Coturnix japonica: one gene and its partners. The protein of the gene in region 1 purifies or fractionates together with the protein of each later gene. This does not show direct contact. Links are inferred from orthologs where the notes say so. Each region holds a gene or a part of one and is shown on either strand. Other genes may lie near its edges. The genes, in order: WDR76, HELLS, CAMK2D, DNAJA2 and XPC.

Region 1 (5,279 bases):
TGTTTGCTGGGAGGTGGCTGATGCTCAAGGGGCCATTAATGAGGCAGTGCACCCTGGGGTGCTGCTGAGGGTCCCCAGGCGCTGCAGTCTATGTTCAGGTGCAGGCAGTTATGCTCAGCTTTGTGCCCATGGTTGATGTGACCCCATGTTGCAGGTCCCTGCCGGACCGCTGCCCATGGCCACGGGTGGGCAGGAGAAGAGTGAAACAGCGCTGCTGGGCACCTGGCTGCAGCTGAGCGAGGTACGGCCGGCTGCCTTTGGTGGCATCTCTGGATGACGTTGCTCATGTCCTACATGATCTTGTTCTGATCCGCGTCTCTTTTCAATCCTCAGATGAAGAATAACAACACTGAAAAGCGCACGTGTGACATGGCGAGGTAAGGGGAGGTGGCACAGACCCTGGGCTGGGTCTGCTCCGCCCTGGGGTGGCTGACGTGGTGTGTGCAGGTACCAGGCTGCCCTGAGCTGCATGCTGCTGCGCGAGGACGGCATCAGGAAGGTGGTGAGCGGCCGTGTGTGCTCCGTGGCCATCCACCCCACAGAGAGCGCCGTGCTGGTGGCAGCTGGGGACAAATACGGCCACGTCGGGCTCTGGGACGTTGTAAGTGTGCTCCTCTGCCTGGCAGCACCGCGCTGCACTGTGAACCAATTCTGCTGCCCTGGGAGCTGTGCTGCTGTGGGAGCTGAGCGGGAGGGATGCTCAGCACTTTGGGTTCTGGGTTTGTGCTGGGCCGAGCAGCTTCAGCTGTGTGCCGCCTCAGCTGGAGGCGTTTGAAATGCTCCACACACATAATGCACGTTGTTGGAGACTGCCGACCTCTGCAGCCCCTCCTGCAGCACCCTGTGGTCCCACGGAGCAGCCTGTGCTGCACAGCTGGGCAGTCAGTGGGAAGCACTGCAACGGCTCTAAGCATCCGTTTATTGGCTTTTGTTGTTCAGAGCCGCACAAGTGAGGAAGGAGCTCAGGTCTTCACCCCACACAACTTGTCCGTCAACTGCATGCACTTCTCGCCCTCCCACCCCGCACAGCTGCTGTCCCTGAGCCACGACTCGCTGCGCTGCGGTGATGTCAGCAGGGCGGTGTTTGATGAGGTGGGTGCTGCGCGGTGCTGCTCCCATTGCAGCCCAGGTGTTATGTGTGGGTTGTTAACAGGGGAGGTCCCATTTCTATGGGGGCACATGAGGTGGCTTTGTTTGCTGTCATGAAGGCGGAGGTGCTGCCCAGCTGATCGCACTGTGCCTGAGGTGGCCGCAGCTCTTCACTGTAGCAGGAAGGAGGCTGGAACTAAATACACTGTGTGCCCCTTCCCAAAAGCAGCACTGCTTAAAGGTGGGGAATGGGAGCGGCTTAAAGAACTAAAGCCAGCACACAGCCTGTGTTAGATGACTTTGCTCTTCTTGGGCTCTGAGGGAGCAGAGTGCTGTGCCTGCTTTCTGCAGCAGTTTAAGGGCCTCATGGTGCTCCGTTTGCTGGTAGTCCAACCTGTCTGCATGGAGCAGCTCTGAGAGCAGGGCATGGGGCTGGCTCAGGTGGGGTGGTTAATTGCCTGCTGTGGGGACAGGTCATGCAACAGGGAGCTGAGGCTGGAGCTCTGATCAGGTCACTGCCTGCAGAGTTTCAATATACAAAAAATGCCCACGGTGTTTGGTGCTGCAGGTGTGTGTTTGTTGTGCTGGGCTGTATAGCTGTACTTTCCTTTGCCCCTCTGGCACTCAGATTTACAGAAGTGAGGACAGCCTCTCCTCCTTCGCTTTCCTGGAAGACGGTGCCCACACGGCCATTGTGGGGCTGTGGGATGGCACAGTGGCTGTGGTGGACAGACGGACCCCGGGGACGTCACCGGAGCTCTCTGCAGACATCGGCTTCAAAATGACGAGGACGGTGGACGTGCACCCCGTGGACAAGCAGTACTTCCTTGCTGCAGGCTCTGTGTACGTAGCTCAGAACACGCATTGCTGTGATCCCCGCTGTGGGCATTGCTCTGATCCCTGCTGTAATGGGCTCTGTGCAGAGCAGGAGCTGTGCTGGGTGGTTCTCAGTGTTGCAGGCTGCTCCCGGCTTCCTTGGCTCTTAGAAAGACCCATTTTTAGTCCTCAGCAGCATTTGAAATGATAGAATCTCGTTTTACAATCCCTTACCTGCTCACCTGCTGCGTTACAGCGACGTCCGTGTCTACGACATGCGATGGCTGCGGCGCAGTGGGAACAAAGCAGTGAGTGCCCTGCGTGGGCACAGCAAGAGCGTGGCCTCCGCGTACTTCTCACCCATCAGCGGGCACCGCGTGGTCACGGTGTGTGCAGACGACAAGCTGAGGTGAGGCCATGGGGGGGCTGAGCCCATGGGGGGGGCTGAGCCTGCAGTGCCCTGGGTCATTTGTTGGTTGGGATCTCAGTGCTCACAGCCGAGTGCTGCATTCTGTGTGCCCGTGGTCCTGCACTGAGTGCTCCACGAGGTGGGGCTGCCTCTTCTACCGCACGTAGTGTCCATCAGCACACACTGTTTTGTCCTACAGGGTCTATGACACCAGCTCTTTATCAGCCAACTCTGCCCTCCTCTGCACGGTCAGGTACAGTGGGGTGGGCTCTGCTGTGTTGGGGCTGCATGGGGTGCTCGCAGCCAGGAGGCAGCAGCTTCTGATTGCTGCAGTGTGCTCTGCTCGAGTGCTTTCTCTCTGAGTTTCTAACATAGGAAGGGTTACTGAGCAGTGAGGGATGTGTTTCCAAGGGGTGCTGCTGCCTGCAGAGCTCTACCAGCCTCCAGGCTTGTCCCCTTGGTGTGGGCATCACCTCAGGGATGGGGCAACTGAGGCTGCTTTGAGGCGTGGAGGCACAGGATCATGAAGGTTGGAAAAGGCCTCTAAGACCATGAAGTCCAACCATGACCCATCGATAGCCATTCATTTCCACGTGTCCTCTGACTTCTCTTGTGCTCCGTTTCATTTCTTTATCCCTTTGCAGCCCTGTGCCCAGCAGTTGGATGTGGCAGTGTGTAGGGGCAGCAGGATGGGTTTTGGCAAACACGTGGTGTAGATGTTGGTGCCTTCCTTCTGCACTTCTGCATCTGCTCCTCTCTGCTCTGCAGGCACAACAACAACACGGGCCGCTGGCTGACGCGCTTCCGCGCAGTGTGGGACCCCAAGCAGGAGCAGTGCTTTGTGGTGGGCAGCATGGCACGGCCCAGGCAGATCGAGGTGTTCCAGGACACGGGGCTGCTGCTTCACGCCTTCTGCAGCCCCGAGCACCTGGGCTCCGTATGCTCCATCAATGCATTCCACCCCACCAGGAACATCCTCGTGGGGGGCAACTCCAGCGGCCGCCTGCACGTCTTCATGGAGTAGGGGGGGGGGGGGTTGTCCTGCATGGAGCTGTGGGTGAGAGAACTGCAACTGTGCTGTCGTGGGACAAAGCTGATCTTTTAAGTGCTTGGTCTGTGTTTATGGTTCCGGCGTTCCTTTCAATAAAAGGATGTTTAATCTAAAGGTGGTTTATATCAAAATAGCAAAAAAGAAGACGTGATGTGGTCAGATGGCTGTTCCCTGAGGGTAAGCTTACTTAGATCAAGGTTACCATGGAAGGATGTGGGGCATTCAGCAGCTCTGGGTTGTTCCCCCATTTCTCCTGCAGCACCCACAGCTCTCATGGGGGTTCCTCAGCCATGGGGTCAGATCTCCCCACATCCCTGCTGGGGGGTGGGTGCAGCTGGGGCAGGAGACACAGGTGGGGTGTGTGGAGGTAGAGCAGGAGGACCTGATGAGGGGAGGTGTGGGGCACAGTGGGGAGGCAAGTGGTGCAGCTGGGGCAATAGCTGGGGCATGTGGAGCATCTGGAGGAACAGCTGGGACATGGGGTACAGCCGGGGGCACAATTGGGGCACAATTGGAGGCGTCATGGGGCACAATGTGGCACATCTGGGCTTTGAGGTGTGTGAGAGCAAACAAATGTCAAACCAAGGCGGGCTGGGGTGGGGTTTTTTTGTGTGTATTTTTTTCCCCCATGATATTTAAATATTTATTTCAGTTTAAAAATACTTTCCATGGCACCGATGAATTTCTGCTCACTAAGATATCGAATATGTAGAAAAAGGTACATTTCGAAGGACAATGTGGCTGACAGGATTTGGCACATGAAAGGTCAGTTCCGAGGTTTTTCTTATGAAAACTAAGAAATTCACATTTCCGGTATCTCACCCACTACTGCGGAGATGCGGCGCGTTACGGCGCCGCTGTTGTTCGATATGGGAACCTACGGGAACGACATCCGGATACAAGGACGTAGAACTAAGAGGTGCCGAACACCGGGACGCAGCCACGGCCACGGCCACGGCCACGGCCACGGCGCTGCGGGGAAATGCCGGGTGAGCACGGCGGGTTCCGCGGGGCCGACGCTCTGGCTGTGCGAAGGGAAGCGGATGGAGGAGGCCGAGGTCGGCGGTGCCGCGGGCACCGGGCGGGGGCTACCACGCACTGCATAGACACACTGACTACGGGCTGAGGTAGGAACACTACACTACGAGTGAACTCGGCTACGTTGCATAAACGGGGTCAATGGGGGCCGAGCGGGGACGGCGGCCGCGTGGTGGCACAGCGCAACCGGCCCACGGGGGGCTCCGCGCGTGGCCATGGCCGTGCTGCACCGCATTACTGTGCTGCACCGCATTACTGTGCTGCACCGCATTACTGTGCTGCATGGCTGTCTGGCTGCCGGTGGCACCGCGTGGCCGCGCCCCGTGCCCGTCCCGTCCGTCCCGTCCGGGCTGAGCGGCGGCCCCGTTGCCGTGCGATCTCTCCCTGAGATGAAGCGGAGCTGCTCGGCCTCTCGCCCCGCGTCCAGCGGCGGCCGCAGCGCTCCCGGACCGGCGTTATTGCTCCTGGGGAAGGGCCGTCCCCGCTGACCGGCTCCCACGGGCGCCACGAGCTGTCGGCGTGTTTTGGCTGAAGGATGGATGGGGAGCGATGGCTGCTCGGCGACATCCCGGCGTTACCTCCCGTCCTGCAGCGCGTCCTTTTGTCTTCGGCAAAGTCCTAAAGTCGCCGCTCTCCGCCTCCCAGAGCGCGGCAATGGACTACAAACATCCACCGCCCCGCCGGGCCCCGGGCGGAAAGTTAAAAACAAAACAAAAAGACTCGGGCTCGATAACAAAAATAGCTTCTCGTTGTTAAAATAGACCTCCAAACAGTCATTTGTACAAAAGGAGCCGAGCGCGGGGCCGTGGCGCTGCCGGGGTCCCCAAAGGGCGGCACGGGGCTGGGGGGGGGGGTCCTGCGGCACGGTGAGACGGG
Region 2 (6,144 bases), on another chromosome or scaffold:
CCTTCAGCAGTCAGGGCAGTTAGTACAAGGCAGACCTGGAATAAATTCATCAGGAAACCTGTGTAGGCACAGAGCATGATGAAACAACATGCATTCCTGTGTTGCATACCAGAGCGACAAGTAAATTTCAAAGGTGACAGCCCAGAGTTACTGTGACTTCAAGCAACCACTTGGCTGACCTGAGAACAGAACCTTCTTTGTTTACAATCTGCATTTTTTTTTCTAACTCTTATCTACTCTCTTACACTGTAATTTCCCCCAGCCCCCTCTGTGCCTCTAGGTTCAGCTTTCTCTGCACCTTGCATTATGCTGTACAAATGTCCAGGTGTTACGAGGGACTTTCATCTTCCAAAACAAAGGGTAACAGACCAGCAACTATCTGCACTGCAGTAACAAGTCACTGCCTAGTGCGAAAAAAAGACATTTCTGGAAAGAAGTTACATGTTACAAGCTGTTTGCTTGGACTGAACAGTGAAACTAAATATATGCCACAGAGATGCACCATCTTCTGGATCCTGCTGCACTTAGGGAAGATGCAACCAAGTCTGCCCATTTAACATCCTTTGCTGACTGAAGTGGCCCTGTTCCCAACCCTAAGAATCTATCCCATGAATATTTTACATAAGCATTTGTAAGAGAAACTGTTGATCACAGCCTGGACCTCTGATTAACCATCTGAGGCAAGCAATGAGTCAGCTGCAGGAGCACAGGTGAAGGTAATCCGGCTGTGGTCCTGGAAGGGGTGGAGCTCGACTCTACCTCTCCTAGATCCCATTTAAGGGCTGACCATCACTAAGGTAGCATCTCTTTCTGGAGATTGCTCTTGTGTGGAGTTTTTGTGGTGAACCTCAACATTGGTGAGCATCCATCTTGACTGAAGGCCTCAGCGTTGGTGAGTCTTTTCTTAGATACCCTCTGGCTATTCATTTACTTTGTAATACCAATTATATTTGTATTATTTCAACTATACAGTATTCCCTTACTCACCTTGTCAGGTCAGACCATTAAAATCTAATATTAAAACGTCAGTCTCAGAAGTGGTTGAAGGGGAGCGATGATCAGCAGCACTAACTATTTCCATGATGATAGCTGCATCTGGAGAGGAATGTTTATTGTCATCACCCCACTCGTGTGCTAAGCCAGGGTAAGTTCCCTCATCTGCAAGGCTGGACATGAATCTTCTGCATATTCCCTGGTAAGTGTCTGCCTCTGGGATGTTCAAAACAGGCCATGGTGTGTGTCCATCAGTCTCCAGGCTTAACTGACTGACCTTGTACCATTTTCCTGGGACAGATTTTTGAAATATATACTTTTCAAAGAGTCCTTCACTGCATAAAGTTCTGTGGTTATAGGATATCCAAATGTCACCAAAGAAAAGGCTGATAAACTACTAGTTTGTCATTTATTTCTGCTGACCAACAGGGAAAACAGTATTTCAGCTCTATGTAATGACCAGTTGAACACAGAAAAATCACACGTACAAAGGAAAATACTTTTCTAGAAGCTAAAAGCACTGTCCTGCTGCATCCCACAGCCAGGATTCTTGGGTTAGGGGTAACACAGATATGGCAGTGGTGGGAAGGATGGTAAGGGTTTGACAGGGTAATGCAATCTCTCCCTGCAAAAGGGAATGATCATGGCCCCACCATGGTGCTGCGCAGAGCAGGAAATGGATGAAACAAGGACAGGCCTTAATTTTTCTTTTTATTTGTATATATATATTTAAAGAAGCAGAGTTATTAACATATACTTTCCAATCAAAATCTTTGCAGTTTCATTTTCTTAAGTGCTTCTGAAGCTTAGTGACACCTTCACCTTTCCTTCCTGCCTGAAACTGGTGCTGACATCCGGGTCACCACAAAGTACTTTGGAAACTGCTTAGAATCTCACAGAGCTAAAGGTACCTTTAAAAAATAAGTTTTCTTTGCTTATTTGCTTTGATGTCTTGAGACTGAGTGAAAGCAAAAAAGAATTATAACCGCAAAGCCCAAACCAAGTGAGATTTACAAGGCAACCTGATATTGCTGCCTCAACAGACGTGTCATTAAGATACAAGGACATTGCGGTCAGGAGCTATAAGAGGAAAAACAAGTTATCCCTGCCAATGCATGTGCTTAAGGGAAGAGGTTACCAATGGGCAGCGGAGGAAAACTATTGGAAGGGGTCATTGGGACCAGCAAGAGAGACTCAGGACACAAGTGCAGAGGGGTGGAGAAGTATGTAAAGAACTTATTGGAAGCAATATGGTTGTACTCAGAAGTATAATGTAGCTAAGTATGCATATGTATACTTGTATAGCTTGTGTATGTATGTATATATGTGTATGTATATAGTATGTCTATGTAGCTGCAGTCTGAAAGCAAGGCAGCTCCAGCTTAAGAGCACCTGCCTTTTAATACTACATTGGTGTTAAAAAGTTATTCAAGGCTGCATTTTGTTACCACGGCGTCAATAAAATAACATCACCGGCTCTTAGTAACATTCTTCCCAGTATTGCTTTGCCATGAAGCACATTACAACATCCAGTTCCACAAACTAAGGCTGCACGGCTTGGAACAGCAGGACCTGGGAATGGGGCGGGGAAACACCTATCACCTACCAGGACCCAACCCAGCTTCAGCCCCACTCCGCCATAGGAGAGGAGGGCTGAGCCGTCTCGCGAGACAGACGCTTCCTCTCGCGAGACTCGAGCTAGCGCGCGGTTTTTGGTCTCGCGAGGCGGCGTCCCGCGCGGGAGCAGCTCGGCGTTGGGTGCGCGCGGAAGGCGGTAGGAGCCGGGCGGAGTGTGTCGCCATATGCCGGCACCGAACGGGGAGAGCGGCGGCGGTGAGAGGAGGGAGGAGGGGGGGACAGAGAGAAAGGAGCCGGGCACGGCGGGTAACAGCGTGTATGGTCGTTGCAGAACCGCCGGGAGCTGAGATGGGCGAGCAGGAGGTGGTGATCACGCCGGCCATGCTGGCTGAGGAGGAGCAGCTGGAGGCGGCGGGGCTGGAGAAGGAGCGGCAGATGATGGAGAAGGTGCGGGGATGAATGGGATGAATGGGGGCTTTGCCTTCGGAAACACGTCCTAAGGAGCTTCACATCCCGCATTGTGAACAACCATCCCTGTGTTTCGTTATCCCCTTGCTGTGTGTGTTTCAAATGCTGATATTAAGGGTGTTTGGACCAGAGAGATTGTCCCTGTTGTTTATCCCTGCGTCCTGGGACAGCTAATACTCTTCAGCTTCTGTTTTTTTTTGGGGGGGGTTTCATTGCCTGTCACTTCTTTGGACCCTGTTTCCAGCTGTATGTACACATTGCATCTAGTGTGTAGCCTGGTCGGTATAATGGGTACTAAAAGCAGCCCTGTAGCTTGAGGCTGAGTCCAAGGACAAAGCGATGCCTACCCTGGACAGATCAAAAGAACTCTTTTGATTTGGTGCTGTTTGTCGTCTTTGGGTTGTCTGTTTTTTTTTTCAAGGGAAAAAATGGGTTGAAGGAAGTAATTAGTGGGAGTAAACTATTCAACTCCAGCAAAATAAATAAGAGTGTTGGCAATTCAATGAACAAAGTAGCTTAGTTTCACTTATGTTATCTTTTGGCATTGACATCAAGGGTCGGTCCTCCTGGGCTCAGGTGCTTTGTCTGAAGGAGAGCAGAAGCGAATAAAAACTTTATGGAGAATCGCAGGAAAGCCATCTAAGCTCCAAATGACACGGAGAAATGGATCTTCCTGTCGTTAAAAGCACAGAGATAGCTGCTTAGTGATTTGAAGCATCGCTTTGGGAATGTTCAAGGCAGCATTTCTACCGGACAGCTTTTTTGTCTTGCAGTTTACCCCATCAGTCAGCTTATATCTGCAAATAGGCTACTTGTGAATCCATTTAGTTGCAGGAAATTCTCTTGTTTTTGTGTCCTAGTGTGCCCTTCCCCCAGTGTTCCTTCTGAAGGCTGTGGCATAGATAAGGATCTCCCGAGGCTCTGCTGCTTGCCTTCCCTCTGGTTTTTCTTGGAGATGCTAATTTAGACGTGTTTGACATCTCAATCTAACCAGCAGTTTTGGGTGAATGCTTTTTTTACTCTGGAGGAGGTCTTGACCTCGGTTTTAAAGATGTAATGCAGGCTTCTAATTGCTGTATGGAATCAATTCAACAGGTGCCACTTTCAGAAGAGAGTAGCAGTTTAAACACGTGAATTTTAAAAGCGAAGCAAAATAAGTTACTGTTTTCATACTGGAAATTCACTTGGCCACTGTAACGTAAGCATTAGCAGTTTAGGCATTTATGATTAGGCTGTTCAGATAGCTTGCTGATAATGGAGAGCTGTACCTTTGAGGATATGGTTTAGGAAACTGTTTGCTGAATTTTGCAAAGTTATTGTTTTTCTCCCAGGTCTTGTGAGCTGTGAATAAACTTAAATGACCTTTTTACTCTAAATCTGTAAGTTGGAAATTAGACACGTTTAAGCCCTTGAATGCTTTGTCCTGCTGCACTGGAAACAAATATACCCAGAGCTCTGTTTACATACACGAGTGAATGCAACCCTCAATTATATTAATCTCTGAGCACTTTGTAGAGAGAAAGGGAGATGTGGATTGACACACCCACAAACTGTGGATGTATAATGACTGAAAGAGAGTGCTTGTGTATGTATGAGACAAATGGAATCAATCTGTAAGAGAATCTTTCATTATCTTACAAGCATTACCTTGGAGGCGTGTATAAATACTTGGTGTATAAATACATGATGTCTCTGTATTGGCCAGGCTCGCAGTGCGTGGGACAGGGAGTCAAGTGAAATGCGCTACAAGAGGCTTCAACACCTGCTTGAGAAAAGCAACATTTATTCCAAGTTCCTGCTAACTAAAATGGAGCAGCAGCAACTGGAGGTAGGTGTATTCTTGTCTGCGACTGGGATTCTTTAAGACGAGCTGCCATCTGTTTGGTTTTCTTACCATCTAGTGTTTGGAATTAAGGTGAAAATACTGTTGGATTTGCAATAATTATGTATAAATGTACAGGAGGTACTGCCCAAGGATGAGGTGGTGCTTTATATTCTGAGTTTTGTGGGAATCAAATGTTGTTTCTGCATTTAGAACAAAATATGAATATATAAGTGAAGAAATTTGTAGTTATTANTAATGCAATCTCTCCCTGCAAAAGGGAATGATCATGGCCCCACCATGGTGCTGGGCAGAGCAGGAAATGGATGAAACAAGGACAGGCCTTAATTTTTACTTTTTATTTGTATATATATATTTAAATAAGCAGAGTTATTAACATATACTTTCCAACCAAAATCTTTGCAGTTTCATTTTCTTAAGTGCTTCTGAAGCTTAGTGACACCTTCACCTTTCCTTCCTGCCTGAAACTGGTGCTGACATCCGGGTCACCACGAAGTACTTTGGAAACTGCTTAGAATCTCACAGAGCTAAAGGTACCTTTAAAAAATAAGTTTTCTTTGCTTATTTGCTTTGATGTCTTGAGACTGAGTGAAAGCAAAAAAGAATTATAACCGCAAAGCCCAAACCAAGTGAGATTTACAAGGCAACCTGATATTGCTGCCTCAACAGACGTGTCATTAAGATACAAGGACATTGCGGTCAGGAGCTATAAGAGGAAAAACGAGTTATCCCTGCCAATGCATGTGCTTAAGGGAAGAGGTTACCAATGGGCAGCGGAGGAAAACTATTGGAAGGGGTCATTGGGACCAGCAAGAGAGACTCAGGACACAAGTGCAGAGGGGTGGAGAAGTATGTAAAGAACTTATTGGAAGCAATATGGTTGTACTCAGAAGTATAATGTAGCTAAGTATGCATATGTATACTTGTATAGCTTGTGTATGTATGTATATATGTGTATGTATATAGTATGTGTATGTAGCTGCAGTCTGAAAGCAAGGCAGCTCCAGCTTAGGAGCACCTGCCTTTTAATGCTACATTGGTGTTAAAAAGATATTCATGGCTGCATTTTGTTACCACGGCGTCAATAAAATAACATCACCGGCTCTTAGTAACATTCTTCCCACAATTGCTTTGCCATGAAGCACATTACAACATCCAGTTCCACAAACTAAGGCTGCACGGCTTGGAACAGCAGGACCTGGGAATGGGGCGGGGAAACACCTATCACCTGCCAGGACCCAACCCAGCCTCAGCCCCACTCC
Region 3 (6,339 bases), on another chromosome or scaffold:
GCGAGGCCCAAACCTCTTAAGAAAATGGCTCTGTTCCTGAAATTTGTTTGGATCAAAGCCATAAGACTCTCAAAAAAGAAAATAAAAGATGTACAGATAATGACTAAAGAAAGACAATAATTTGTGAATTATTTTGCATTTGGTACATGCAGGGAAAAGTCACCTTGCAAAACGTTCTTCTTTAGCTACATTTCTTTCTACACAAGAAAAACACCACAAATGAGCCTAAAGCAACGCTTTAGAAACTGAGCAGTAAGAAAATTGCAGTGACTTCATCAGTCAAACAATACAGAACCCAGAATCTGCAAACACACCCTTCACTTTATTCTAAGTGCTCTGTGCACTGCATTCAGTCTTGGAGGGATGCGCAATACAACTTCTTCCTTCCTCTTTTAAATTAGCAGCACAATTAAATCACGTGAGCTCGTCTAGAAAGGACTTGGTACAAAACGAGCTATTGATTTTTTAACATCAACATAATACTTCAGTTGACTTAGTAAATGTGAAAAAAAAAGCTGCAGCTCAAATTTCTAAGGACATTTGACATCCTAATAAAATTCTTTTTGCCATACTGAGAGATTTAAACTGCAAATAATTATTGCTATCAACAAAATCAGAGAAATGTGGAATCTGAAGCGCCTCATAGAGCCAAGAACTTAAAAACATAATGTGAAATGTTCTTACTGCATTGTCAGCTACAATTGGTGCGTAAGATCAGAGTGGATGTGAATAACTGATCATCCATTTAAAAGCACAAAAGTCACTTCTGCAAAACCAAAACACAACAGAACCAAACTTCCTTTTCCTTCCCTCCAAATGAAAGCCAAAGCCCATCTCTGGACATGGTTACTCCAGAATTTCTTCACAACTGAACAAGGAATCAGAAGAGAACACACCTTCACTGGCGTAAGCGTGTGACGACATCACCCTGTGTTTAGAAGGGCTGCTAAGGGAAGGATCCAAACAATCTCCAACATCATTTGTGGCTGGAGTGACAATTATTGTTGTATCAAGGCTGACACAGTCAAATAATTTTTCAACTCAAATCATGTTGAGTTCTCCTTTAGATTAACAGCCGTGACTCCTCCCCATCAAAACACTGTAATGGCAACTCTGTCTTGCAAGCAAGAAGGCTCAAATTTGATGTAGTGCTTCAGAGTTACAGACAAGCAGGGTTGTACATGGGATACATGGCAAGCTGAGAACCTCTAACCGCTCACAGATGAAGCTCACCCAATAACCTTCAGATTTACATTATGATCTGTATTTCAGGTGAGAAGCTGGAAACATCAAAGTGAACTGCTACCTCATCATAAAGCAGATCAGACAGGAGGAGAATGAAACTTATAATTTAGATACTACTTGAAATGTAGTCCGAGTTGTAAGCTGCATACTTAGTATCAGTCACGTTAAAGTATCACAGACAGAGGCACTGCAAGTAACACCCTTTTGTAACTGCAGAATTGCTTAAGAGGAATCCCAGGATCTCTGTAAGGAGCTTGCTCTTCAAAAGCTGCTGAGATGTTGTTATTTGTCTTCCAAAAGATAAAAGCTAAAGAACAGCAGTGCATGTAAACTAAAATAATAAAATAAAATCTGGAATCTTTGAAAGCCAAGATGGAAATGGATCCACTGCATTCGTGGACACAGCATCACATTCATTCACATATGGAAGAATATTTCACAGCCCAGTTACCAACCTCGAAAACCCAACTCCTTGCTTTATGGGCCTACACTTCAAACCAACAGAAATTTTTCTTTGCATGAGTTTTGCTACATTCCACCTTGCCAGCCAAATTCTCCCCAGCAGGTCTGGGTGCATCAATGGGCTGCAGTGAGGACCAACTCGGTCCTGCCTGAACAGCCAAGGAAGCACAAAATGAAAGCCTGAAAAACAGCATGTCTCAAATGATGACTTCTAAGGAAGACTACAGAGCTGACACCACTTGCTTATTCACTTTCACATTCTTTACCATATCACAAACTCACATCAAAACACAGGTAGTGTTAACAGAGAATAATCCCTAATCCTCGACATCCTCCTACAATCACTTTGACGTGGGTTTAACAAGGAATTGACATATCTCCATTGAGGCTTGCTGCCGACAGCAGTAACCTACAGCACACACGTGACCACCCAAATGTATCACCACGACTTCCCACTGACAGGCAGAACATAAGGGAAACAAACATGTTACAGTAAAACCTAAGCATGCGGTGCAGCAGGCATTAATGCTGGGCTGGAGCTGTGACACAATGTGTCATTCAGAATGACTTGTGTTCACAAATGGACGCTTCAAAAAAGGAATTTTCCCTTTCCCCGGGATCTCATCACAAAGTTCAGTACAGGAGGGGGCATCACACTCTTCTCCACGGATTCAAATAGGCCTTTTTCACGTTTCAGTTTAAATGCAATGGAAACTTTGAATTCAGAAAAGAAAACACATATTTATGATAAAAGCCGCAATGTCAACTTGTTTCCCAGCCTTCCCCTAAAAAAATCAGAGTGTACAATCCTTTCCAGTTTTTCCAATGTAAAAACGGGAAGAGGATGCACTCATTTAAATCACTTCATAAAGCTTCCCTTTAAGGTACAGCAACACAGCCCTCCATACGGTTAACCTCTGAAACGTTTAGCATAAAAAAGAACCACTGCCTGAAAGGAAATGAAGAAAATTACTGAGAAAATTAATAACCTTAATTCTTATTATTCTGTGCTCCGTTTTAACGCTCGCCACAAGAATGCAAGAAATGAGGAGAAGATATCGTAAACGCTCGGTTGGAATATATGGAATATACCCACCCCTGGCCGAGAGCTTTTTGGTGTTGATGATTTTGGCAGCATACTCCTGTCCTGTGGTGATTTTCATACATCGCCTCACGACCGAGAACGCTCCTCTGCAAGCCAAGAGGGGACAGAGCGTCAGTGCCACCCGAACAGCGCCCTGCCATTACCACCGCGCTGCCACACATCTAAAGGAGCGGAACGATGCCCAAAGAATTAAGGGGGGGAGGGAACGGGATAATAAGAAAAATAAATTGTAAGAAGAAGGGAGGCTTGTCAGAGACGGTCAGCGCTCATTTTAATCAACGCAACAGCAAAACGCTGCTCAGAGCCGCTGTTTCGAGCGGTGCGACCGAAGCGCTCTCCCGGCGGCGGCACGTTGCGGCCCCGGGTCCCCGTGTCCGTGCCAACATGGCGATCGGGGATACGCGCCCCAACGCAGGGGGGCGCCCGACGAACCGGCCGCGGTCGTGTCGGGGGTAGCGAGCTCCGGCTGCCGCCGGCAGGGCAGCCCGGCAGCAGGGCAGCCCGTCACCGCCCGCAGCACCCGCAGGGATTGCCGCCCACCCGGAGCTGTGCTCACGGACCGAGTCTCAGCCTTGAAGCGACGCCCGGGGACGAGGCAGGGCTGCAGGCATCGCCCCGCACACCCCAACCCGCGGGGACGGAGCCCCCCCGACTCTCAGTGTTTCCCTCCTCTCCCCCCTCGTCCCCGGAGCGGCCCCGTACTTACTTGCCGAGCTCCTCGTAGAGCTGGTACTCGTCGGTGAAGCGGGTGCAGGTGGCGGTTGAGGCCATCATGGGGACGGGCGGCCGCCGGTGCCTCCGGCGGCCAGGGGAGGCGAGGCGGCGGAGGGGCTGCGGGGTGGGCGAGGCGATGCGAGGAGCGGCTCCGCGCCGGCTTCTCCTCCCCGCCGCCGCCGCCGCCGCCGCCTCTCGTGTCGGGGCCGCCTCCTCCCCGCCAGGCGGCTCGTCCCCGCGGCGAGTCTCTCCCCTCCCCGCCGCCGCCGCCGCCGCCTCTCGTGTCGGGGCCGCCTCCTCCCCGCCAGGCGGCTCGTCCCCGCGGCGAGTCTCTCCCCTCCCCTCGTCCCCACCCTCTGGGAAAATAAATAAATAAAACGTCGCGGCGGAGAGGCGGCACCGAAAGGGAAAGCAAAACCGGGCCGGGGGGCGCGGCGCGGCAGCCGGCGACGGGGCGCCCCGGCCCTACGTTCTCCCGAGCCCGCGGGCAGCGGGGCCGCCTTGCCTCGCTCCGCGCCGATTCCCGGTGCCGTGCCTCCCCCTAGCGATACGAGCCCAGCGCTCGCGGCCGCCCCGTCGCGGCTCTCTGCCGCCGCCCGTCGGGGCCGCTCTGGCAAGGGGGGCTCCGCGCTCGGGGAACGGCCGCGCGAAGGGCCGATCCGATTCGATCCGCACCCGGCACGGAGGCGGGAGGCGCCGCCGGCCCCGAGGAAACGGATGCACCTGCGGCCCGTTCCTCGGCGACCGCTGACGTCAACAACCGCCCCGCGGGGGCGGGGGGGCGGCCGTGCTCGGGGGCGCGCGCGGCGGCAGCCGGAGGGAAGCGGGACCGCGCGACACCCCCCCCACCTCCTCCTCCTCCTCCTTCTCCTCCTTCTTCTCCTCCCGGGGCTCCGCAGCGCGGGGTGGGCTCGGGGGCTGTGACCTTGGGCTCGGTCCTGCAGCGGGGAAGGGCGGCTCCGCAGCACCGGAGGAGGGTTGGACGACAGCGGGGGTCCCAACACGGAGCGTGCACCGTGCTCGGTTAGAAGGGCTGGGAATGCCGCTGTCGTGTCACTGAGAGCCGTGCTGAGAGTGGGGTAAAGCGGCTGTGTGTGGGAAATGGTGCGGCTGAAGTATCAACGCATCTGGTTTTATAGACATTTCATCCATAAGATTTCTGTCCAAAATATTTAAAGCCAAAGCAGCAGCAGCAGGTGAAGAGCTGCTGATGGTGGTAACGGCAGCATTCTTCACAGTCCGAAGTTGGAAATCATTACAACGTGCCTAAAACCCTTCCCAAATGTGGCTGCTTCCACACCCGCCGCCAAGGCGCACGCTGTTACATGCAGCCATACTCCCAGCCCAGGCCCTGGCATGGCTGCTTGCTCTGTGCTGGGCACACCATGTGCCTTGCTGTGTGTTCCTCTATGCTACACACAATGGTGGTGCGTTAAGGGATGAGTTACGCTAACATCTGTGCAGTGCTCTAAACATATAGCACAGCAGAGATGTCAGCTTGCATTACAGCCAGAGTTGTGCTGTAGCAGGCAGCCTGCAGGATGGGGGAAGGCGAGCAGCTCCAAGCACCCCACACTAGTGTGCCAAGAAGGAAATGTGCCATGCAGGTTTCCATTAGGATTCACAGCTGAGACCTCGTAGCAAGAGTTAAAAATCTGTCAGCTCTTTCCTCAGCTAATGCGGGATGTGCGTGTGCATGCAATGTGAACGCATGAGCCTGTGCGCAGCAGCAGTTTTCCTCCCAGCGAGGCAGCTGTACCGTGTAGAAATGAACTGCATTCATGGCGTAAAGGAGTGGTGGAGGAAGGCTGTGAAACTGGGGAGCCAGTTGCAAATATTTACTCCCCAGTTCCTCTTCAGGGGAGAGTTGTGTGCAGCGATTCCAGCACAAAAAGATGGGGGGATGTCTCAGTTTAGAGCTGCACATTTACACTGGAGCATGAATGTACTACTGTCAGATCAGTGAAGGGAATATGCACAGAACAGCACAAGGAACAGAGGCATATTTTCAACACAGGCCATTCTGTGATTCTGTGATTCTATGATATTTCTTTGACCCTTGAACAAAATTGCAACACGTGAGTCGTGCCTAATTTTGTATTAACCTCCATAAATAACACAGTGAGCAGGACCGAAGCCCCGGGGTTGTTTGGTGATGTGCATATTTACAGGGGCATGTCCAGCAGGCTGCTGACAGATGCATTCGTAAGCACTCAAAAATAAAGTGTATTCCCCCGTCCTGCCTTCCTTTTTCTCTAACAGTATATCCTGACAGCAGGCATTTGGCCAGACTATCTGTTGTGACTGTGCCACCAGAAAATGTTCAGAAGAAATTACTGATAATCCATTCACTTTCTATTCCCATTGGAGTTCTGTTTAGTAATGACATTAAAAGAGAGCACGATCCAAACAGACAAAAAACAAAACCAAAACAACCAAAAAAAACCCCAAATCTTCTCCTCCGCTTCCCAATCTGAATAAACAACTGAAAATTGGGAGGGAGTCCTAAGAGCAATACCCTGTATGAATTTTATTACAGGTGTTCAGGAAAGAGATTGTTTACAAGATCAGTATCATAAGGACTTGGAGAATTTGCAGGGGGGCAATAGTAGGGAAATGATGAATAGCTTGGAAACACTTGAGCTGGGAAGTTTTCCTCTTGTTACAACAATGCTCCCATAAGTGCAGTTCACTCCTGAGCTGAAACGGAACCATAATTTGTAGCTGCCACTTAAGTCCTCCATAAATTCTCCAAGCTTTCTGAGCGGAGCCTCCTGCATGGCAGCCAAGAACCTGGCCCTGACGGCAAGTTC
Region 4 (5,679 bases), on another chromosome or scaffold:
GTATCAGTAGTTACAGTAAAGCAATAAAGTTTAGCAGTAAACTGAACAACATTACTTGCTGCAGTATTATATCACTTCCAAGTTCAGTACTGAAGTCAAGACTGGATAGGTTTCATATTTATGTATGACTTCTACTACACTAAAACTGTACGAAATGATATATATAACAAAGGCAATTCTGGAAATAATAGTAGGATTCTGCTGACAGAAGCCTAAGTTAAATAAACAGATCTTGATTAATTTGTACAACACAATGATCAAATCTAAACCTTCCCCCTTCACTTCAATATGCTCAGAAGTTACAGTGGATTGATTCCTCCTCCTACTCTCAATCCCCACTCCACCAAAAAACAAAAAAAAACAAACCAAACACCCTGAGAAACACAAATTTAGGGTACATCCTCCACTTGTTCAGAGGTAAATCTGAATATTAGTACTTAAAAGCATCAGACAAGCACATCAGTTATTAAACACTACAGCTTGATATGATGGACTTCTTGGTGAAGCACATCAGAAGGATCACTATGTAACTATGACTGAAGTTTGTTTTTTTAAGTGAAAACAAACAAAGCTTCACCAGATGACTTGCACAGTATAAATCAATACTGAAGTACCAGCCAAACAGTGTTTATTTTTGCTTCAGTTTAAAATCCACATTTAGCAATGCTCTTATGACATCACCTACCCAAGTACACAGAAAGCTTTGGAGCATCTCCCACCTCACTCACGGATAAGAAGTCAACAATTACCTGACAAGTTATTAAAGTCACACTCGAGATTTATAAAGAAAAGAATGTATTTCAACTTCTACTCAATGGGGGAGAGGAACTACACTATAACAAACTGGTGAACAGCAACTCATACACAGTTCTCTAACTGACAAAATAAGATAGCTCTACCTGGTAACTATTTAAGGTCTCTTTTTTTCGCCAATTAAGTGCATATAAAAAGGAATAGGACTGAAAGTGGGAAAATAAAAGGTCTTAATTGTTAGGGAAAAAAAAAACAACTGAAAAACTAATAAAATTGACAACATTTAGTATGTTTTGAGGTCAGAAATATTTGTCAAGTAAAATGCTAATCTCCATCTCTTTACAAACTGCATTAATGCAATTGCAAATTGCCAGGCATGTTTATTTATTTGTAAGACACTTAGCATGGGATTTAATCATCTTCATTGCAGATGTTTGTAACTTCTTGATGGCAGTCTAAAACCTTTGTACTTTCTCTAAAGAAAGGGGACATGGCTGTGGCCTTCCCCTACCTAAATAGCTGTACTGCTGCTCAAGAAAACATTTATACACAGCACACAGTTCTTAAACTGCAAGCTGGTCTTAAAGCAGCTTCAGCCTCCCTGTGCTTTTAAGTGTCCACCTCTCTATAGTCAGTTGGTACACAACATGGTCAGAACCACTGCAAAAGTAAAAGTTACAAGGCAGAAAGAAATATTATACACCAACTGCTTTTATTTATTTCAGAAACCGTTCACAAGATGGTAGAAAAAACTTACAACCACTTCTAATTTAGTCTTCCATTGTTCCCAGTCAGCTCTAAACCCATTATGTGCAAAGCCCATTTACCATGCATCTAGATGACAGATACAGGCTATGAAATTCTTTATTCTACTTGTAGCAGCTTATGCAGGTGCAGCCAAATACCAAGCCTCAGGACAAATTGTACACAAACTTTACAATGTAGAATTTGAATTTAAAATATGAAACTTAAAATCTACACAAAACTGGTAAAAATCAAGCACAGATACGAGGACAAACTTAAAACCCATGTGAAAAGGAGTCTCGTCTTCCTTTCAAGTGCTTTATTCTGCTACACAGTCAAAATGAAGATGTAAGCTTTGTGGTTAGTTTAAATTACACTCTGTAGATACTATAGACCAATTTAAAAGTTACACATACAGCAATAGATGTCCATTGGTTCATCTGGATTACTTATACAATCCAGTTGGATTGTTGAAAACAAGTCAGGCAAAATTTGAAAGAAAAATCCTTGTGCAACTTTTTAGACAAATGTTTACTGATGGGCACACTGTACCCCAGGTCCATGATGGCTGCTTTCTTCATCAGAACTATCATTATAAGCTTCACGTCTCTGGCCACCACCTGAACCACGAGTGGTATCAAATTCTTGAAGATCTACCTCTTCTGCATCACCAATTACATTAGGAAATTCTGGTCTAGCAGGCAGAAGATCTTCAAGTTCCTGCCCCGAAAAAAGAAGTGCATTCAGTACCGTATCTCCAACTTTATCTACATAAAGCGATGACTTTCCCCACAGCTTCATGACTCCTCCTCAGAGCAAGTTTGCTTTGGAAGCCTAAACTGGCATAAGCCCTGGAGTGCACAACTCATTTAAGAGTAACCAAAGTATCTGCATTAACTGGAAGACACATTAATAAGGAAAAAGCTCCACACATTATCAACTAATGTGCAACCAGTAAATATAGTTGCACTCTGAAGACTTATTACATGGTCACAGGAAGATTCTTCCTCCTGTTCCCATCTACTAAAAATCCACACAACTTTTAAAAACAGGTACCAGAAACCTATATTTCAATACATATTTCCAAATCATATGCTGCTATAAACAGTGTTAATAGAACAATTTATTCAAACTTAGGCATTGCAAAGCAAGAATTGGAGGCAAGAACGGGAAGCTAACACACAAGCACCTTGCATACACCGTCCAGTAGACTACCAAATTCATGCTTGAAAGACTACTTACTGAAAGCTTCTCTGGGCTAATCCAGTTATTTTCAGGAAACTGAACGTCAAATTTAATGTAAAGATCCCCCTTCTCAAAAGGATTGCGATACTGTGGCATTCCTTCACCTCTGACTACACGGACACAGCCTGTAACAGTAAGAAATAAGAAATGCTACTTTAGGAAAATCTTGCCCTACCCAATTCTCTAGCCAAGGTTCAGGTGAAAGCATGGTCAAAGGAGTCCTTATCTCCTCAAGCTTACCTGGTTCAATTACTTTTCCAGGAGGATATTTAACCACAATTTGACGCCCATCGAGGTGCTTAAATGTGAACTGGAATCCACACAGTGCTTCAACAAGTCCTATCTTGTGCGTCATATGCAAATCATTCCCATCCCTTTGGAACACCTGAAAAACAGAAACAGGAGGTATCTTTTCTAGTACTACAACCATATCCTCACAAAACTAATTATTTAGAGCTTATTTCTGTTCCTAAAACTTCATGTCAGACCTACCAACATACTGTGGAAGTCTGTGCATTACAAACATGTCATACAAGATAATACAAACCACACAACATCCCAAAGCATTAGGTTCAAATTACATAAAAGGTAGCCCATAAAGCAGCCGTGTTCCCCAAGACCTTTCACAAAAATTAGGCTATAAACAAAAATTTCAGGACTGTTTGACACTACTTCCTCTACACCATGCTACAGAAATCACATTTTGGTTTCTCAACATTTATTGTAGCTGCTCCCATCTCCTTCAGCTAGTTAGCTATGGGGCAAGGTTTCGATCAATTAGTCCGCAGCCATCTTAAGAGATCTTTCAGCCACAGCACTTTGGATTTTTCACCAGAATACACACGAGTTTGTCTGCTGGTAGGCTGCCAAAAGCATTACTTCTTCCACCTCCTTTCCTACTTCAAAGGAGATTTTAAGAACATAAAATCTCGACTATCAGTCTAGTTCTTCTCAGTAGGACACAGGGTTTCAGTATTTTTCAGAATAGTTAATGCTGTAAAACCAAATAGTTAATGCTGTAAAACCATTATAAGACTGAGATAGAAATGATATCTACCATATGGATTGTCATGCTGGTACGTGCATTTGTTTTGTATGCATACAGTGTTCTCCCTTATCAAAAAGAAACCAAGAATCAAGTAACTGTGATGCTGGGTTTCACGCAGTATTACAGAAGAAGAATAAGGCTATACATAAGCCTTGACAAAATAGCAGTCCACAGCATTGAAAAGCTTACGAATTACCAGATACTTAAAGCTGGTAATAACTTAGGTGCAACTACATGAGTTACTTCAAACCGAGCAGCCATTTACATCACTAAAATATTAAAAGATTATATTTTAAATGCAATTTAATATAAACTCAAAAGTATTACCTCATTCTCCTTTTCTTGGAGTAAGAGGACAATATCGCCTGGTTCCACACCTGGAGCTTGATCTGCTTCTCCACTGAATGTAATTCTTTGCCCATGTTTCATGCCTTTGTCTACATGGACTTCAAGTATTTTTACCTCTTTGATCACCTTTTTCCCTTCACATTTTTTACAGCGGTCTTTTTCATTAATTACTTCACCTAAAGACACAAGTTTTGAGTTCAGAGATTTACACATAATTGTACACCATTCTGAAAGGGGAAACAAGCTGTTTTAAAGTAAGTTGAATAACATACACAACAGAACCAGTCATTTAGATGTTGCTTTACGCATTTTGACAAGGAGAAAGCCAGGCTCTACTTACTGTACTTAGGAGATGGGAAAGAATGAACAAAAAGGTAACACAAAGATACATATATCTTTTTGTATATAAATATGCAAGTTTCCAAGCTGCCTTTTCAGGAATCTTTAAAAGAAGATTTTGGACAAGGAAGACAAAACAAAAGATGAGGTTTGCAGCTTGCATTGCTCCTTAGGTCCAAATTGAACTCCGGTATCCTTACCATTCAATTTCTCTTTAAAATAAATTTAAAAATAAAAAAACACCGATTTTTAAGTTCTTTGCTAAAATGCAAGATAATCATTATAAACGAGGAGTAAACCTAAAACCAAACATAAGCATCCACTCTCTCTTAAAAGTTACAGTACTAATTTCAAACTACTAAACTGAATTTTGGAAACTTAGTTCTGTTCTGTTAACATCAGTGAAAGGAGGATTACTGAGGGAGTCCCATTTTGCAGTATTTTACCACAGCTCTGAAGTATCATATAAATATAGTCAGCAAAACTTGAGATTTACATACATTGAAGAGAAGACAGCTGGTCAAACTGGCTTCATACAAGACAGAAATTATCTAAAATAGCCTGGCACATAAGATTCCACTTCTATACTGCTCTGACAGTGAATAGTTTTTCACACTGTTTGTCACCTCTAGCAACACAAGTACATCCTCCAGCAAACTGAAGGATAATTATACAGAACAGCTTAAATTCTCTGTTCTACCCAGCTGAAATGATGTACTCGAATGGTGAAAACAAGATGTTCAGAAATATCATTTGTAAAATATTTCAATGAAATACAGCCCTTTGTAATTTCAGGTATTGTCATAAACAAAGCTATCTAAAAGGCTGCATCACTGCTCTGCAAATTGCCTAACATTCAGAAAGAATTCACACAAAGCACATATCGCATGACGGTCAAACAACCAATTCAGCAAAGGGTATCTTAGTAATTTTTTTTTTTTTTTTTTTAAGTCCAACTTCAGTTTTAACATAAAGCTGTTCTTAGAGAATAAGACTGCAAAATTAAATAAATAAAGGCTTTTAACCCTCCTCCCCTCTCCCCCCCAGATGTTGGTCTTTTTAATAGAAGAGTAAAAGCAACAAGTAAAATTCACATCTAAGTCTTTAAAAAACAAAATAAACAGAAACCACCACCACCACCAAGTAACACACACAAAAAAAAACAAACACCAGAATTAATCCCCATTACTCAAGTTTCCAGG
Region 5 (5,679 bases), on another chromosome or scaffold:
TTGGTCTGTAGGCTTCTTTTTCATTACCTTTAAGCACTGCTTATTTCACATCCAGGAACGACATCCAAGCGTGTGGAGGATTAGTTTTGTAACTTTGGATGAACAAGTTTTCCACTGTTGGTGGAGGCAAATGTGCAGTTGGGTTTTGTATCACCTGTAACCTCACAGCTGTTATCTTGTCCATGTGCTTAATGATAAGGCTGATTCCAGCCTACCAGTGGTGTTTTTACTCCTCTTTGCTCTTACTACTTAAGAAATAGTAGCTTCCTTCCCTCCATAGGATCATCTGAGAAATATGGTCATTCATCTTGACTGGATTCAGGTGGTTTTTTTTTTTGCTTTTTAGAGGCTTCTTTTGCATTCAGCAGTTTAGAACACTTTCATCTTACATGCTCATCTGCACACAAGAATGGTGCAAAACTGAAGAACTTAATGTTTCTGAGGGTAGGTATCCAGGTGGAGCCAAAGCTCTGTTTCATTGCATGTATACAAATTTCTATCAAACCAACTGAAGCAGTATTTTTCTTGCCTGCTTAGCATGCTCTGTCAGAATGTGTATCTGCTTTCTGCTTTGTTCCTCTCTGCTTTGCTCTCCCTTAAATTGTATTTACTCTCATCTTTTGCGTGCTTAGTTTGAGAGAGCTGGCTGAACTCATAACTTCATGCATTTAAGTCCAGTAAGTGCTGACTGAAGTTGGGAAGTGCTGACTCACTGTGATACAGCTGCTTCCAGCTCCCTTTTGAAGCAGATGAAACATTACTGATGCCAGCTGGACTTAGATCCTTGCATTCAAAGTACTCATCTTGTAACGTACCCTGTGCAGCCACTGACACAGAAGGAATTCTGCCCTCTCCAGTCCACTGCAGTTTTACCACTTTATGTGAGAGGTTTTGTTTTTGACCTTGAAGTCTTCTATACAATCACGCCTACCCACCAAACTCAGTGTTTTTGTTTTAGAAGTCAATGGTAAAGAAATAAAAAAGATGACCCTTAACATTAATTCTGCGGTATCTTGGGACCTGGTTTGTGATTTCTAGAAGTAACACTCTTATAGTGCTTAGTTGTATGAGACAATCCTGATAGATAAACTGAGCTGCTGCCAGAAGAGAGGAGCATTAATTACTTTATTTTGTTCTACAAATACGGTACAAAAATATATATTTTTTGAGATAGATAAATGAAAGCCATTTTCTTGCATTTAAAGCCTTTCTCTGTAACAGTACTGAGCAACAAGTAGACTGGATTCATCTCCATCTTTAAAGAAACAGTGTAATTTCTTTTTAAAAATACAGCAAAAGACAAAACAACATTTCTATTGCAAAACTGCAGGAAGAGCTTGTATAGACTTAACATTCGTCTCATCACAAAAGGCACATCTAGTCTTCAGCGTGGAAGTTTTCTGGTTCATCCAAGTCTTGATTGAATGCTGCACTCCACACAAGGTATTACCACACGAGTTATTTTCCACCTCTGTGATGGTGAGACTGGATCTCTACTGATTAGGATAAGGTAGAATTAAAACAAGGATGTAGTAGTCTCTTAACTAGCTTACCACAGACTGTTAAATAGCAGCTGCATACTTCAGTTCTGGGCAATTAGGGGAAAGAAAAAAACAGGAAAAAATTGGGAAGAGGCAGTGCTGATTTGTGACCGTGTTGAGTGATACAGAGGAGTGCAAAAAAGCCCAGCTGTGTACAGATGGTGATCTTGGAAAGTACAGCTGCACTTCTGCTTCTCCTGAGTTCAAGGATAAACAGATGAACTTAATTACCCACAATAGCAATAGATTCTTGGTGCTGAAATAGGTTGATCCCTGATAGCTCAGAAATGCAAACGAACAGAAGATTAAGTCTTTAACTGGCATAGGATACTTTTGTTGTGACCTTTCTGTTCTTGCTTTGGGAAAAAGCAAAGAAATGCTTGTACTTATCACAGTTTCTCAAAAGGAAACAACTGTGCTGCTTCTTCCTTCTTTTGTCGCTTGCTTTTTCTGGTGGTCTTCTCTTTCTGCTGCTCTGCCTGGCGATTTCGGGGCCAAGAAACTTCCACATCTCCTCCTGCAGTCCCTGAACTTGGGCCTTCTTCATCAGAGGAGAATCCTGTTCCTTTCTCTGTCTCAGATGCTGATGGCTCAGCCTGGAAAAAAACAAGCAGGCATAAAAGTGGAAAAGGAGCTCTTAATAATCATTTGTAGCTACTCTTTTCTAAAAAGGCTCATTTTCTATCACATACCTTGATGGAGAAGCGTTGCTTCAATCTCTCTCTAATGAGAAGTCCTTTTGTCAGCAACTTCCAGTTCCCCAGAGCTCTCTTCTCACGCTTCTGTTATTGAAAAGAGAAAAAAAAATACAAGTTCCAGCGTATTGATATTCACAGGAGATAGAAGTTTAAAGCCTTCAAAATGGAGCTGAAAAATAAAAGAACCACTACTCAACACCATACCAACAACTTCAGTGTGTCACATTAGAAGATTATAGGCCGGTATGATTCTTAGGAACAGTGTATTGGTGACAACGTATCTGCTAATGATATGAATTACTGTCACTTTCCAATTTTTAACTATTTGAAAGTACACTCTAGTTCAGAGATTGCTGCACACTTGTTTGCACTGCAATGCAAACAGAAAGCCACAAGTGAAGCATTTGGGGAATTCAACTTGCCTCTCTCTCTCGGTCACATTGCTCTGTCTGTTACAAATGCAGCCTTCCTTTGATTGTCTACAGCTTAAATTGAATTAAGCAGTAATAAGGTGGCTGCAAAAATAATTCTCACCTCCTTCTCCTTCTTTTCTATTTCTGCTTGTTCATTCTCCCAGGCAGCAATGAGCACTTCTTTATATTCTTCACAGACAACATAGCCATCAGTACTAAGAAGGAGAACAGAATCCCATCAGCTACTAGAAGAAAAAAGAAAGGGAGCAAATGCCTGATGACCCCACCAGTCAAACAGCTGCTGACAGAATGGGATACTTGTCTTGTGGGGTGTAAATATATAATTTATCACCTATTCCACCCCCCAAGTGCAGACCCTTTGAGCATATAAAGTCACTTCTGCATGCCAGGGCCATTGATGCTGCTACCACAGGTAGCTCAAAAGAGAAGGAGGATGTGCACAGAGTACACAACTTCTACACAACATCAACATTCATCACCTTAAACAAAGCACCTTTACATACACTGCGTGTGAGTAGCCACCATGAAAGTCAAATCCAGTGACAGCTTGAGCACAGTCAATGTCCAGCTTCCGTGCCAATCTGTTCAGGTTGGGGAGTCTAAGCTGCACACAACCAACAGGTAACATAGAGGGCAGGAAGAGATAGACGTTTCCATATTCATTCCGAGGAACCTGGTATTGCAAAATGAAAGAGAAGTGATGACACTCCTGCCTTCTGGAGAGAGGCCGAAATTAGCTGCAATTCAAGGTCCCTCCCCTCTTTCTGGCCTGCTGCATTCTACTCTGGTATTCTATTAGTATCCACACAAGGTACAAGCTAAATTTTAACTACATGGTTGCCTCCTAATGTTCTCTGACCTGGCCTTGTTACTCTGGCTGTAATGCTGAGAACTAGCAAAACAAAGATGAAGTTGGAAATTAGATAGATTAGAAAGTTGGACTTAGGAATAAAAGGCATTAATGACATTTTCACTGTGCCCTCCTGGGTTTATTTACCTCAGAATTCTTAAGCCTGATATTATTGACTGATCTCACCTTTAAAACGTGCAATTCTCAAAAAATAAAGCCCACAGCTTCATAAGAAACAGTTCCTTTAACACCAGCCCTCTGCTTTCCTGGCTACCTTTCCATCCACTGCTATGGGTGGCTGATACTCTTCTGTCTGCCAGCGACCAAACAGCGCCAGGTCTGCTTTGTCCCGGTTTGCAGGCTCTGCAAGACGTGCCTTCCTCGCCTGGTTGGAGTAGCCCTTCACCATCTGTGCAAATACAATGATCATACTTGGAACAGCGCAGAAACAAGCTGTTAGTGATTTCAGACTTTCCCAGGACGGCAAAGGAGAAGACTCTGGAAAAGAAATAATGCCTACTTCCTGTCTTTGGGATTTATCCCTTATAAATGATAACCCACAGCTACTGTGCGCAAGGGAGCTAGAGTCCCTCTTTAATTGGAAGTCATAGGATGCTTCTGAAGAAGATATAAAGGGTGCAGTTCTGCAAGATACCCTTGGGGTACAGACACAGCGGGTGAATGGAATCACAACACAGCTACCACATGAAAGCAAGAAACCCACATCTGCTGACAGAAAGAAGACATTAAAAAACAAACAACAACAAACAAAGCTAAGCTTGAACTTCAGAGAGCAGATGTTGCACAGGAGGAAGCCAAACCCACTTACTTTATAAGGCACTTCTCCAATCCTCACCACTCGAGCCTGCTTAAGCCAGGTGTCCTTGGAGTGGAGCGTGTGTACACAGTCTCTAAAAAGACCAAAAGAAAGCAAAGAGTTGCATCAGAGACTTCCAAACCATTATTCACATGCTAGGAATGGTTAAAAAAATAAAAATAATAAGTGTATCTAAGTGGTATGCAAATTCTGTCTGAGTAGCTAAATGTCTCATGCTGTCTGTGCACGTGGCCTGAGTCTACTGCAAATACCGTTGTGGTCAGCACACAAATGAGCTTTAATTTGTTACAAAGATCACAGACACAGACAACTATGTCCACCACTCACCTCGAGTAAACAGGCTCTCCCCTGCAGTACCCTAGGATAGCAGCTGACTCAGGATAGATGGCCTGATATTTCAAGAGATGCCTCTTCAGTGCATATAGAGGGTGGTTTTTGTACTCTCCAATTGCTGTTGGTAGAGGCTGATCTTGAAGCTTAACCTGAAACTGTAGGAATTATGGAAAAAAGAGAGTTATTTCACAATTACCTTGCACTAGCCTTTTAAGGAATTAAGAATGACTATAGTCTGGATTAAGGGGAAAAAATATTAGGAAAATAATCAGATGAACCAAGGGACCAAAGCATTCTTGTTGCAGATACACAGTTAGCGCTGCACCCACATCTATATATCTTAAAGAATCTGCCCAAGAGTAACATCAGGCTGTACAGAAACCATATCATTAAGTTTCCAGTGTGGGCTTCCCAGTGCTCTATTTGATTACTACTTTAATCTTATCATTGTATATTCCCTTTAAAACTTGCTCATTCTGAATATTTCAAGCTCAAATACAAACCTCCTTCCTCGTGGAACCATTCCTTATGATTTTTGCCTGAATGGGAATCCAGGGACTATGATGCTATTGAATGTCTCCCATAACTTATTATCATTTACCTCGGTTTCCTCCTTCTTGTCTCTGTCCACAAAGGGACTTCTATATGGCTGCAGTGTGTCTTCCCACCACTCAGGGTCCACACGTTTCTTCCTTGTCGTGGTCATCCACACCGGGTCATATCTTTGTGTCACATCCTTGACGCTCCCATCATTGTCAAATCCCACAACGTAGGAAAGTGGCTTTGTGGCATATGCAAAGCACTGCTGGGGCTGGCCAACAATGCCATGAACGCAGTCTACACACACCCACCTGTCCTCACGTTCAAGGAAAACCTCTAGCCACTGGTCTGTGCCAGCCACTTTCTGTACCATCTGCTGCCCATCATCCTCATCACTAGAAATTATTTTGTTTCTCTTTTTCTGTGTATGAGGCAAGGTTGGAGC

What was found.
Region 2: the proteins of WDR76 (region 1) and HELLS purify together in Homo sapiens (affinity purification with mass spectrometry; 4 studies listed by BioGRID and IntAct, counting the BioPlex papers as one, with this or other methods). This does not show direct contact. The link is inferred for Coturnix japonica from reciprocal best matches to the Homo sapiens genes WDR76 and HELLS.
Region 3: the proteins of WDR76 (region 1) and CAMK2D purify together in Homo sapiens (affinity purification with mass spectrometry; 3 studies listed by BioGRID and IntAct, counting the BioPlex papers as one, with this or other methods). This does not show direct contact. The link is inferred for Coturnix japonica from reciprocal best matches to the Homo sapiens genes WDR76 and CAMK2D.
Region 4: the proteins of WDR76 (region 1) and DNAJA2 purify together in Homo sapiens (affinity purification with mass spectrometry; 3 studies listed by BioGRID and IntAct, with this or other methods). This does not show direct contact. The link is inferred for Coturnix japonica from reciprocal best matches to the Homo sapiens genes WDR76 and DNAJA2.
Region 5: the proteins of WDR76 (region 1) and XPC purify together in Homo sapiens (affinity purification with mass spectrometry; 3 studies listed by BioGRID and IntAct, with this or other methods). This does not show direct contact. The link is inferred for Coturnix japonica from reciprocal best matches to the Homo sapiens genes WDR76 and XPC.

The regions. Positions count from the first base shown.
Region 1 is NC_029525.1:18,051,217-18,056,495, reverse strand, and holds the end of WDR76 (WD repeat-containing protein 76), read left to right. Parts: intron 1-154; coding exon 155-241; intron 242-333; coding exon 334-377; intron 378-447; coding exon 448-601; intron 602-939; coding exon 940-1,092; intron 1,093-1,717; coding exon 1,718-1,932; intron 1,933-2,161; coding exon 2,162-2,314; intron 2,315-2,513; coding exon 2,514-2,567; intron 2,568-3,082; coding exon 3,083-3,338; 3' UTR 3,339-3,479; downstream 3,480-5,279. UniProt on the Homo sapiens protein: Specifically binds 5-hydroxymethylcytosine (5hmC), suggesting that it acts as a specific reader of 5hmC.
Region 2 is NC_029521.1:14,027,858-14,034,001, reverse strand, and holds the start of HELLS (lymphoid-specific helicase), read left to right. Parts: upstream 1-2,556; 5' UTR 2,557-2,571; coding exon 2,572-2,767; exon of another isoform or gene 2,768-2,795; coding exon of another isoform or gene 2,796-2,826; intron 2,827-2,902; coding exon 2,903-3,018; intron 3,019-4,744; coding exon 4,745-4,867; intron 4,868-5,124; exon of another isoform or gene 5,125-5,415; intron 5,416-6,071; exon of another isoform or gene 6,072-6,086; coding exon of another isoform or gene 6,087-6,144. UniProt on the Homo sapiens protein: Plays an essential role in normal development and survival. Involved in regulation of the expansion or survival of lymphoid cells. Required for de novo or maintenance DNA methylation. May control silencing of the imprinted CDKN1C gene through DNA methylation.
Region 3 is NC_029519.1:50,653,889-50,660,227, reverse strand, and holds the start of CAMK2D (calcium/calmodulin-dependent protein kinase type II subunit delta), read right to left. Parts: upstream 3,720-6,339; 5' UTR 3,587-3,719; coding exon 3,519-3,586; intron 2,929-3,518; exon of another isoform or gene 2,899-2,928; coding exon 2,804-2,898; intron 1-2,803. UniProt on the Homo sapiens protein: Calcium/calmodulin-dependent protein kinase involved in the regulation of Ca(2+) homeostatis and excitation-contraction coupling (ECC) in heart by targeting ion channels, transporters and accessory proteins involved in Ca(2+) influx into the myocyte, Ca(2+) release from the sarcoplasmic reticulum (SR), SR Ca(2+) uptake and Na(+) and K(+) channel transport.
Region 4 is NC_029526.1:6,537,752-6,543,430, reverse strand, and holds the end of DNAJA2 (dnaJ homolog subfamily A member 2), read right to left. Parts: intron 4,315-5,679; coding exon 4,118-4,314; intron 3,128-4,117; coding exon 2,983-3,127; intron 2,868-2,982; coding exon 2,740-2,867; intron 2,218-2,739; coding exon 2,029-2,217; 3' UTR 1,447-2,028; downstream 1-1,446. UniProt on the Homo sapiens protein: Co-chaperone of Hsc70. Stimulates ATP hydrolysis and the folding of unfolded proteins mediated by HSPA1A/B (in vitro).
Region 5 is NC_029527.1:8,357,480-8,363,158, forward strand, and holds the end of XPC (DNA repair protein complementing XP-C cells), read right to left. Parts: coding exon 5,296-5,679; intron 4,850-5,295; coding exon 4,689-4,849; intron 4,435-4,688; coding exon 4,353-4,434; intron 3,933-4,352; coding exon 3,798-3,932; intron 3,347-3,797; coding exon 3,177-3,346; intron 2,898-3,176; coding exon of another isoform or gene 2,891-2,897; exon of another isoform or gene 2,868-2,890; coding exon 2,774-2,867; intron 2,324-2,773; coding exon 2,234-2,323; intron 2,138-2,233; coding exon 1,931-2,137; 3' UTR 1,107-1,930; downstream 1-1,106. UniProt on the Homo sapiens protein: Involved in global genome nucleotide excision repair (GG-NER) by acting as damage sensing and DNA-binding factor component of the XPC complex. Has only a low DNA repair activity by itself which is stimulated by RAD23B and RAD23A.